Xenopus tropicalis: one gene and its partners. The protein of the gene in region 1 interacts with the protein of each later gene in a biochemical or structural test. Links are inferred from orthologs where the notes say so. Each region holds a gene or a part of one and is shown in the gene's direction. Other genes may lie near its edges. The genes, in order: ptpn3, rps6ka1 and scn5a.

Evidence for each region.
Region 2: the proteins of ptpn3 (region 1) and rps6ka1 interact in a test that uses a peptide from one of them, tested with the Homo sapiens proteins (2 studies listed by BioGRID and IntAct). The link is inferred for Xenopus tropicalis from reciprocal best matches to the Homo sapiens genes PTPN3 and RPS6KA1.
Region 3: the proteins of ptpn3 (region 1) and scn5a form a complex in vitro, tested with the Homo sapiens proteins (2 studies listed by IntAct, with this or other methods). The link is inferred for Xenopus tropicalis from reciprocal best matches to the Homo sapiens genes PTPN3 and SCN5A.

The regions. Positions count from the first base shown.
Region 1 is NC_030682.2:75,273,058-75,276,711, forward strand, and holds part of ptpn3 (tyrosine-protein phosphatase non-receptor type 3), read left to right. Parts: intron 1-220; coding exon 221-384; intron 385-3,654.
Region 2 is NC_030678.2:77,585,315-77,589,425, forward strand, and holds the start of rps6ka1 (ribosomal protein S6 kinase alpha-1), read left to right. Parts: upstream 1-1,272; 5' UTR 1,273-1,551; coding exon of another isoform or gene 1,552-1,600; coding exon 1,601-1,614; intron 1,615-4,111. UniProt on the Homo sapiens protein: Serine/threonine-protein kinase that acts downstream of ERK (MAPK1/ERK2 and MAPK3/ERK1) signaling and mediates mitogenic and stress-induced activation of the transcription factors CREB1, ETV1/ER81 and NR4A1/NUR77, regulates translation through RPS6 and EIF4B phosphorylation, and mediates cellular proliferation, survival, and differentiation by modulating mTOR signaling and repressing pro-apoptotic function of BAD and DAPK1.
Region 3 is NC_030682.2:13,563,121-13,566,774, forward strand, and holds part of scn5a (sodium channel protein type 5 subunit alpha), read left to right. Parts: intron 1-2,442; coding exon 2,443-2,584; intron 2,585-2,946; coding exon 2,947-3,144; intron 3,145-3,415; coding exon 3,416-3,601; intron 3,602-3,654. UniProt on the Homo sapiens protein: Pore-forming subunit of Nav1.5, a voltage-gated sodium (Nav) channel that directly mediates the depolarizing phase of action potentials in excitable membranes.

The DNA.
Region 1 (3,654 bases):
GTTGTCTTTGTTTATCTTGTTTTGAATGTCTAAAGCTTGGAAGGAAAAATTCACATCAAAGGCTCAGATGCAATTTGGGTAGCTTTCAGTTATTTTAAAGCCTTTAGATGCAAATAAAACAGGGTTCACACAAAATTTCAAGCTGTCCTGAACTGATCATGATAGTAAGCCCTGTTTGTCTGTTAGTGATAGCATCTGTGTTTATTCTGTTGCCTTATAGTTGTTAGACACCTTGGTAAAACAAAGTCAGAAGATGATGCTGACTTCACCTTTTTTCCACCGTCAATTCTTCCTACTTGCTCGGAATATGGTGACACATTACAGGGATCAATGGAGCAGCTTTCAAAAGGCTTGGAAACTGGAGTTGTGCTCATTCAATTTGAGGTAATTTGAGAAATATCATCTTTGGTTTAACATTTACCAATATAATAAGCATCTATCATTTTGTATGAATTAATAATTCACCTAATTGACCCCCACATCAGTAAGAGTTGTGCTGTGCTTGACACTGTCAGACAATAGAGAATGTGGTCTTGTGTTGACAAAAGACATGCTTTCAGAGATCTGATATAATCCATATAAAAGGAGTTTGATTTGCATGAAAAGTTTATTGGAGAAATGTTTGTTTTAAAAAAAAAAAAAAGGCACAATTTAGAACAAATATTGCATATCACAACGTAATATTCTTTAAAGGGGACCTTAAGAAATAATTACAAATCCTATTTTATCATGTTAGTTGAGGAAAATAAACTTTACTTGGGCTACATAAATTATTTAACCCTTTAAGTGCCAGCAGAATTTGACATTTCGGTTCCCCTCAGTGCCAGACATTTTGTAAACATTCTGTGCTCTCTCAATTTAGGGGCTTTTACTGGGGGCAGGGTTAAGTTTAGGTAGGCAAACTATATATTGTTTTTTCAGGAGAACCTGAGCTTTCCAAATATGCTTTTTGTGTTTTTGTGTATTTCCACTTCTGGAACAAGATTTAGAGCTTGAAATACAAAAAAAAAGAAAAAAATGCTATTTTTCATGATATAGGGATTTATACCAGAAACATATTTTATTTTATGGACAAAAATTCAACTGATTTGGAAAGCCTCATGTCTCCCAAACGTGCCAATACCTGATATGTATAAATGTATACATTTTCAAAGCATTACAGCAGAATACGGCATACTTTAGATTCCAAAGCCAAAAATCCTGAAACATTAGGTTTACCCCAGGAAACCATACATTTTTGAAAAGTACACATTCTGACGAATCCGAAATGGGTAACTGTCTTCCAACTCCTAAGTACCAAACCGCAATGCTTTACTGAATTTAGCATTTTTTATAAAAAATTATGAAAATTCTAAAAAATCGCCTCTAATCTTCCACTTTACACATTCGGGCGAATTCAAAATTGGTACCCATGTCTTTCTACTCCAAACTACAGAGTCGCAATGCTTTCCCAAAATTGCCAGTTTTGATGAAATACCTGAAAATCACATCAAATCTTCCACTTTCAAGCACCTTATCTCCCACATAACATTAGGTACCAAGAAAACACACCCTAAATATGAAAGCCAAGGGTCAGCTGAATAGTTTGATGCCCATTGTGCATAGGATCACTAATGTATCTGGCATTTAGAGACCCCCATAAGGAAGTTAGTGCATAGAAATTGCCCCAGAGGTCTCTTTAGCTACTGGAAATTCAACACGTTTACTGCATTTTCTGTGGGGTAAAAACACAAAAAAATACATTGACCCCCCAAAACCATATATTTTTGGAAAGTACACATTCGGATGAATTCAAAATTGGTACCCATATCTTTCTACTCCAAACTACAGAGTCGCAGTTCTTTCCCAAAATTGCCAGTTTTGGTGAAATACCTGAAAATCACATCAAATCTTCCACTTTCAAGCACCTTATCTCCCACATAACATTAGGTACCAAGAAAACATACCCTAAATATGAAAGCCAAGGGTCCACTGAACAGTTTGATGCCCATTGTGCATAGGATCACCGATGTATATGGCATTTAGAGACCCCAAAAGGAAATATGAAAGCCAAGGGTCCACTGAACAGTTTGATGCCCATTGTGCATAGGATCACCGATGTATATGGCATTTAGAGACCCCAAAAGGAAGTTAGTGCATACAAAGTGTATACACTGCAATATAAGCTACCGGCATGTGCATTATGTGCCATAAGACCCCCTAACAGTAAGGAGACCCTAGAAAACTATACATTTTCCAAAAGTACACATTCTGACAAAACAAAAATGGGTAAATACATCTTTCTACAGCAAACTACAAAGCTATGCGAAACAGAACGTTTTTTTTTACATTTCTGAAAATCGTCACAAAGCTTGCATTTTACCCCATTATGTACCCCCACATTTTGTACCGTATCAACATAAAACATTCTAAATGTGAACACCAGGGGTTTACTGAACAGTTTGATGCCCTATATGCTTAGATTTACCAAACTACAGGGGCACCCAAATAAAAATAGTGCATATGAATTTTCACATAAGACGCTCCGGCTCGTGCAAATTTTGCACTCGGTATGTATATTATGTGCCAAAGACCCCCTAACAGTATGGACACCCTAGAAAACCATATATTTTCCAAAAGTACACATTCTGACAAAACAAAAATGGGTAAATACAACTTTCTACTGCAAACTACCAAACTACAAAGCTATGCTAAACAGAACGGTTTTTATGACATTTCTGAAAATTGTCACAAAGCTTGCATTTTACCCCATTATGTACCCACACATTTTGTACCGTATCAACATAAAACATTCTAAATATGAATGCCAGGGGTCTACTGAACAGTTTGATGCCCTATATACATAGATTTACTGAACTATGTGGGGTACAGAGGATGCCAAATTGAAATACAGCAGACAAAATGTCCATGTGCAAAGACAAGTAACAAAGAACAATGTAAAAAGCAATAAAATTGATAAAAATAAAAAAAAAATCACTAAAATAATTTTTTTTTGCCTAATAATATCTGCAGTGTGTAAGTGTGTATGTACACATGGTAAAATGTGTTTTGTGTGCATGTGTGTGTGCAAGTAAGTGTGAGTTTTCTGTAAGTGCTATGAATGTGTGAAAACCTCCCAAAAATGCATGTGTGTGTGTAAGTGTGAGTATAAGTGTGTATTAGTGTAATAAGTGTGTGATTGTGTGTTTGTGTGTGTATTTGCCACTTACTTGGGGTCTAGAAGGTCAGGATCTGGCACAGCAGCAGCAGCTCATGTGAGGGGGCGGTGCAGGAAGCAGGGGGGCCAGAGGGGGAAGCTGCAGAAGGGAGACAACTGCTGGGGAAAGCCACGTGGATGGCAGGTATGTCCTATGAGGCCCCTGGGTGATCGCGACCCAGGGGCCACTCGTTCCCCCCCTCTGACTGTTGTCTAGAGGCTGGGGAACGAGCGGGGAGCGAAGGAACGGCTTGAAAAGCCGCTTCTCCACTCCCAAATCCGGAAGTGCAGCAGGACGTAGAATCTACGTCCCGTGGCACTTAGGTACTTTGATACACAGGACGTAGATTCTACGTCCTGTGGCACTAAAAGGGTTAAAGCTTGTGTCCCTCAGTCTTGCAAGTACACAATCACAGCAAACAGGCAGCTGCCATTTTGTAAACACTGTTATTAAGACA
Region 2 (4,111 bases), on another chromosome or scaffold:
CATCTGGTTCATCATATCCTCGTGTGTCTGGCTCTTTCCTGCACAAGGGATCACCTACTTGCCGGTAAGCTACTACCCCATGGGAGGGGCAAGGAGCCAGGAGTTGTGTGGAGTCCCTGACAAAGGTTACAGTGTAATATCAAGTCCCAGGGTGGGAGTTATAGTCCCACATCACCCCTGGGTGGAGGCATGCCATTAACAGTGAAGACTCCCTGTTACCCCCATAGTAAGTGGGGGCTCACGACTTCTGCGCCAGAAGTAAGCCAAGAGGGCACCAGTAGCAGCACTGCCAGCTAAAGTGGGCTACATATGATTTTGGAAGTCTTCCTTAGGACTCAACGGCACTCTACAGATCCAACCTGGCCAAAAGAAAGTCACGATACCAAAGCTTGAATGAATTCCGAAATGGTTGTAGTCTTTGTGAAAAATATGACTTTTTGTGGAAGTTAACTAAACCCACGAAAAAGTTGTGGAATTTTAACGAAATTATCGTGGGCATTACAAAAATTTTGATTTTTTTTTTTCTCAAAAAAAAAAAAAAAAAGCGTGGTTTAATGAACGGCCCCTAAGGGGCACATTTACTAAGCCACGAACGGGCCGAATGCGTCCAATTGCATTTTTTTCGTAATGATCGGTATTTTGCGATTTTTTCGGAAAAATGTCGCGACTTTTTCGTTACTAATACGATTTGTGCGAAAAAAACGCAAGTTTTTCGTAGCCATTCCGAAAGTTGCGCAAAATCTGGCCATTTTTCGTAGCGTTAAAAGTTGCGCAACTTTTCGCGCAAGCTTTAACGCTACGAAAAAATCGGGCGATTTTGCGCAACTTTCGGAATGGCTACGAAAAACTCGCGTTTTTTCGCGCAAATCGTATTGGTAACGAAAAAGTCGCGACAATTTCCGAAAAGTCGTGAAGACGCTGAAAAAATCGCAAAAAATACGAAAAAGTCGCAAAATGTTCGTTTTCAAGTCGGAATTTTTCCAATTCGGTTCAGATTCGTGTCTTAGTAAATGTACCCCTAAGTGTTGTACAAGATATAAAAGCGATTGTCTCACTCAGAACCGTACTATTCTTACGCCTCATGCCACAAGATGGCGCACTTAGCGAAACGTTGCCCATTCTTTCCCGCTTAAATCTTCGGAGTAGTAAAAGCAAAGATTCACCTGAGGGAATGCGGAATGGGTTAGTACCAGAAACACCGCCTTTTCTGAACAAGGGGCCAATTGACAGCTTAGAAACCGGGAGGAGCCAATAGTAGGCGGGCAGGGCGGCACGTGCCCTTCTGTCAGTGAGTTAGGAGGAGTCAAGCGGTCAGTCTGTCGCCGGACACCGAGTAGTGTAGACTAAGTGCGAGAGGTGCAGGCGTTATAGCGGAAAAAAAGGACCTGGACTACGCAGACCCTACGTATCATAAATAATTGTCGATAGTAACTTAAACAGTGACTGAAAGCTGGAATCTTCGTATTTAATTATTTTGCGTTTCAAGCCGTGCAGGGTGCGCAGCGGTGTCCCTGCTTTACGTTGTGTAGCACCTGAGAGAACGCGTTGAAGATGCCGCTGGCACAACTAGTGGATCTTTGGCCCGAGGTGGAGGTGGTTCATGAGGAGACGGAGGTGAGAACTGTCAGTTGCGGACGAGGTTTCGAAGCTGAAGCAGTCAGAAAATGTTGGAGGGGGGGAGGTAGCAGTGTTTTCTGATTACAACCAATCAAAGCTACTTACGGTTAGAATAGGTCTTTTAGAATAGCATGGGTTCGTGTGTATGTGTTGCTGCCGCATTCTCTTGCGTCTCTTCATAAGAGAAAGACTGTGCGTGTTACCTGATGGCCTTCAGCTCTTTATGGGCTGCCGATATTCGTCACAATTTCAGTCATGCACTTCTTTCAGAGGTGGTGTATATTTACTATTTCTGAGCCCCCCACCGCGGAATTCAATTAGAGGCTGCACATCTTATGTTTCCCTACTGCAGAACTTGTGGTCACAGGTCGCACATCCCTCCTGCTGTTGAAGCCGCTGATCAACAGCCATTGACTGATCTTGGTATATATTTAATGTGGAACTGTATTCTGTAGCAATCCACCTGTTGCTGAATCTGCAGTTCCAGCCGTCCCCCACAGTTCGACTGTAGTTAGCAAGCAGCTGTAGAACGCAGGTTGATGTCCTCCTATACATTGACATTTGTGTTCATTAATTATGTTTTGAGAGATTGAGAGCTTTTATTTCAATAACTATATTGCAATAAATCCCTTTTTAATACAATATTCATTTTGTAAGATCTTGTGTGCCTTAGAACACAGTGTGACTTGAACATGAACTAAATTTCCTTAATGCTTCAAAAAAAAAAAAAAAAAAAAAAAAAAGATCCCAACTGAATTAAAGATTAGCACATCTAAAATATTTGGAATGCAGGTTCGGGTATTGAACCTGTTATCAAGAATGCTGGGGACCTGGGGCATTCCGGATAAGGGATCTTTCTGTAATTTGGATCTCCATACCTTAAGTCTACTAAAGGTGGCCATACACGAGCAGATCCGCTCGCTTGGCGATGTCGCCAAGCGAGCGGATCTTCCCCCAATATCCCCACCTACGGGTGGGCGATATCGGGGAGCCTTTAGGTAAAAAAAAAAATAATCCGATCGTTTGGCCCTGGGGCCAAACGATCGGATTATGTGGGCGGCAATGGGGCAGTCGGATCGGGGACCGCATCAACGAGCCGATGTGGTCCCCGATCCGACCGGATTTTCTAACCTGCCCGATCGAGATCTGGCCAATTTCAGGCCAGATATCGGTCGGCCAGGCTGCTCGGCTCTCCCCATACACGGGCCGATTAGCTGCCGAATCGGTCCAAGGGACCGATATCGGCAGCTATAGTTGGCCCGTGTATGGGGACCTTAAGAAATAATTTAAACGTCATTAAAACCCAATAGGATTGTTTTGCCTCCAGTAAGTATTACCGTAATTATATCTTAGTTGAGATCAAGTACAAGGTACTGTTTTATAATTACAGAGAAAAAGGAAATTGTTTTTAAAAATTAGAATTATTTGCTTATAATGGAGTCTATGGGAGATGTCCTTTCCGTAATTTGGAACTTTCTGGATAACGGGTTTCCGGAAAAGGGATCCTACACCTTTATATACTATTTCAATAGTTGAGCTTGTTCAGTTAAGAAAGTACTTAAATGTAGAAGCACTATCTAGGCAACTCGCTAGCCATTCCCTTTTATAAATATATATTTGGTGTATATGCTGAAGTGGATTCTTTCCACTAGACCACAATAATTAAAACACCCCACATTATATTACACTTTCTTTATTAAAGCAAAGGGCAGAGAGTAAATTTTAACATTTCAGGGTGCTGTGTGTTGATTTTGCTGGTGCAGAACTAGAAGGTATTGCATTGCTAACGGCAGTGGTGCACAAAGGTTTACACTATACACTGGTTAAATGAAATCAAGGGGGAGGATTAGCTAAACATGGAAAAAAAGATATCGCTCCGCAGGCGCACCCAGTTCAGCATGATAAAGAAAGTATGTCTCCTAGCTATAAAAAGAACAAACTATGAACCACGCACACATTACAAAAAAGCAAATTGCCATTAATACCTATCTGCTTTAATAGCTTTGACTGTCAGAGAAAATTAATGCATCTCAAATACTGTTTGTGTTTGTGGTGTTTTGTGTGCAATCAGCAATTAGATTTCAACAGTCCACTACTGTTAGAAAGAGACATGATTGGTTGCAGTTGGCAACTGCACTTTAGTTCTTATGTTTGAGGCACTGCGTGTATAAACATTTCCTGATTACTGACAGTCAAAATTAAAACACTTCTTCCTTCAGTTAGGTCACCTGAAGGGGAAAAAGGTTTACCTCATATTATACTTCTGCATAATTTCTAAGGGTGTCAAAATTAAGAGCAATACTAAAAACCAGGTTTACTTCATTATGGATGTATATACGTAGCATAGCACCCTGTTCACCAACTTTGTTGTTCCATGATTTAAGGTGGCCATACACGTGGCGATCTGACGATGTTTCGTACGACCATCGGTCGCACGAAACATCGTAAGATCCGCCACACACCATTCAGGGCTGAATCGGTAGGTAAGGAGGTA
Region 3 (3,654 bases), about 62 Mb from region 1:
TAAGGGGCTTATACTTAGGGTTCGGTTTCACAGGGACATCTATGTACTTTCTTGCCCTTACTAACCCTCTCCCGTCTTAATTGCAGTACAATAATCCCCCCCCAGTCCCAAGTTCAGGTGGGCCCAGACAACATACTGCCTCTACAATTCTGCTGCCCTAGGCCTGGTCTTTTGTGGACTTTCCACAAATGAGGGCCTGACAATAGTAGGACTATTGAAGGCTTTAAGGAAGCTTGTTTGGCTTCTTCTAAGAGAATCATAACACTACAGGGGAGCTATGGGAAAGGTTATATACCTAGAGTAACTGAACGGCTCAGTTTGGGTTGCCAAATACCAACCAAGGCCAATATTATAAATTTAATGGCAATGTACTTGTTATAAATAATGAATTTGCAACAGCCTGCCTCCAATCCACTCCCAGCCTGCCCCTTTCTAGCTTTCATACTCACCAAACCCTCTTTGGATTCCATGCTGGATGATGAAACTTGAAGTTGTTGCTCTGCCCCTGTGATGTCACAACCCTTCCCTATTGCATCATGATCCACCCCCATTTGTGCCGTTCCCCCCACTTGGCTGGTACAGATATTATAAAAAGATGGTAAACCTAACCTCAATCAGTGCAACAGTGAAACAGCAAGCTTAGGTAATGGCACCTCCATATTGGCCATCAGGTAAGAGGAAAACAATCGCCATGGTAATATTAGCCATTAAACTAGTATAAAGGGAAAAAAGGGGTCCGTGGGCCTTTAATGCTGAAGGCCGAGCCCATCATATGTGACATTCTGTTCGATTCTGGCTTCTGGCTGACAGCACCAACATTCCCATGGCAGTGTTCCCTAGGTCATTCTAAAGCTGAATGTCATTCCGTTAGGCAGGCAGTGGCTCCCAGCAGAACTGGAAATCTTGGTTGGCGAGACAGTCTGGAGTTATTCTACAGCCACTCTGGAGAGACCCTCGCATTCGCTTCTTGTCCGCTCTCCAAAATCTCTCATTTATTGTAGTGTGTTCTGAATTAACTTTTATTGGCTGTGATTACCCTGCGCATATGCAAAAGGGCTCCAAATGCACCGGACACAGCGGCTTGCTTAAAACTCGATTTTTATTACTCCATTTAAAAACAATACGCCTGACGCGTTTCGTGTAAATATACACTTAATCATAGTGATTAAGTGTATATTTACACGAAACGCGTCAGGCGTATTGTTTTTAAATGGAGTAATAAAAATCGAGTTTTAAGCAAGCCGCTGTGTCCGGTGCATTTGGAGCCCTTTTGCATATGCGTGATTTCGCCTTCCCCAGCTACAGGTTCGGGGCTCTGAGCACCTGAACCACTTCTGAACAACGGTGAGTTCTTTGCATTTAGGATTTCACATTGTGAGAGCTGATATGATGGTGTTGGGAATTTGACCTATATCAACTGTGAGACAGATCCGGGGTTTATACACCCGGATCTCTCTTTTGTATTTGGTACGTTTTATTTACTTGATTTCCTGACATTTGAGACATTTAGGTTAAATTAATTGAGCCATTTCTAAGTTTAGATTACTACCATTTCTTAGTTTGTAGTTTATTGTGATTACCCTGCGAGCTAGCCTTAGCTTTTGGGGAAATAATAAGTATTGTCCTAATGGAATATTAATTGTTACGCAACACACGTCTTCGTTTTGCAATTATGATATTTGATATTCTATGTACCTATTTCATTCTGGAATTGTAATACTGTCTCTTTTCTGGAATATAAAAGGGACATGGGTGGGGCGAGGACCCTGAATATTCCAAAGCAAGACCAATTGTGTCGTTTGTACATTGACAGAAACAGTAGAACCCAGATTTTACGTTTCTGGAAATGGCGCCATTTTTTTACGGTCCCTTTTTTCCCGGATCTTATTTTTTCCTGGAATTTATGCGGTTTTTATGCCGTCCCCTGGGAAACTTAAACTCTGTGAAAACATTGGCTAATTTGCCTTTACAGAAAGGGTTTAGACATTTCAACTCACATTTCCATTACACAGAGGCCCCCACTAGTCCAATAAATAGTGACTGTCTATGGTATATTACAGCAGCCCCTCCGGCATTTGCCAGACTCCACAAAATGGCAGTTTGGGCTTGGTAACCCAATAATATGGTAGGTAGAAAAAAAAATCTAAATAAACTTGGAATGACATGTCTTTAATGAAATCTAGAAATCTAGGGGCACACAATTGTTCTGATGTTTAAGCCTATGTGAAGATGATGATGGTTCAGTCACCTTTGCACAATAGTAATTGAATACAAAGAGGAGGAGATGGAACTGGGAGCATATTTGTCTATAAATAAATAATGTTGGATTATAGTGGGGGAACCTATTGCAATCTGATTGGGAGTTGTATTTATTATAAGGTTTTGTATAAAGCCAATATATCTGCTATGACTTATTCCTTTGCTTCTCCTTGGTCCTTCTAGGAAGTGCCCTGATGGGTTTATTTGCATGAAGACTGGCAGAAACCCAAATTATGGCTACACCAGTTTTGATACGTTTGGCTGGGCATTTCTTTCCCTATTCCGCCTCATGACGCAGGACTATTGGGAGAACTTATATCAACAGGTATGAACTTAACAACTCAACTTCAATCCTTACTTAAGCTATTGCAGGTCTGCTCCTCATTTGTGAGGGGGGGTTCCCTGAATTCTATCCAAGGAGGGGACCCTTCTGCAGATTTTCTGATTCCTTAGAGAGCGCTAGCAGGGAACAGAGTAATTCCACCTTCTATACTGGGTCATACCGAAGCCCCCCTGCTTCCCAAGGCACCCCTACCTGGCTGGGAACTAATACTCCCACCTATACTGACCCTGCCCATCAGCTATGGCCTTTACATACATGGACTTCTATCTCCCCTTATAACTGCTTATGTTTTACCAAAATATTATCCCCATCTGTAAGTTATAAGGATATAATTGTTGTTTCAGACTCTCCGAGCAGCAGGGAAGACATACATGATCTTTTTCGTCTTCGTCATCTTTTTGGGTTCTTTTTACCTTGTAAATTTGATCCTGGCCGTAGTGGCTATGGCGTATGAAGAGCAGAACCAAGCCACCATTGCCGAAGCAGAAGCGAAAGAGAGGGAATTCCAGCAAGCCATGGAGCAATTAAAGAAAGAACAAGAGGTTAGCACATGCTCACACACTAAATCTTCCTTGACACCATCTATCTATCCCTGTACCCCAGGGTCAGACTAGCCTACTGGGATACTGGGAAGAACCCCAGTGGCCCCCGATCCAGGTGGGCCCTGCTGACTGCCCACAAGCCCCAGGTACCCCAGTCCAACACTGCCCTACCCAACCCAAACTACCCAAATGCCACCATCACATAGATTGGCACATTTCATTTTTCTTACTAAAGTTGCCAAGTACTTTATTATCTTTCCTTTATAACCAGGCATTAGCCAGCAAGGGACCAGATGCTGCATCCCACAGTTCCTGTGAAATGTCACCATTTAGCTCTAAAAGTGCCAAAGAGAGGAGAAACAGGAGAAAGAAAAAGAAATCCTCAGAAACGGAAGAGTATGGGGAAGATATGAAGCCCCCCAGGGGTGAGATGGATGAGGAGAGTCTCCGCAAGATGGTAATCCTACATTCTGAAACGTGAATTAGAATCACATTTCTCTGCTCAGGTTC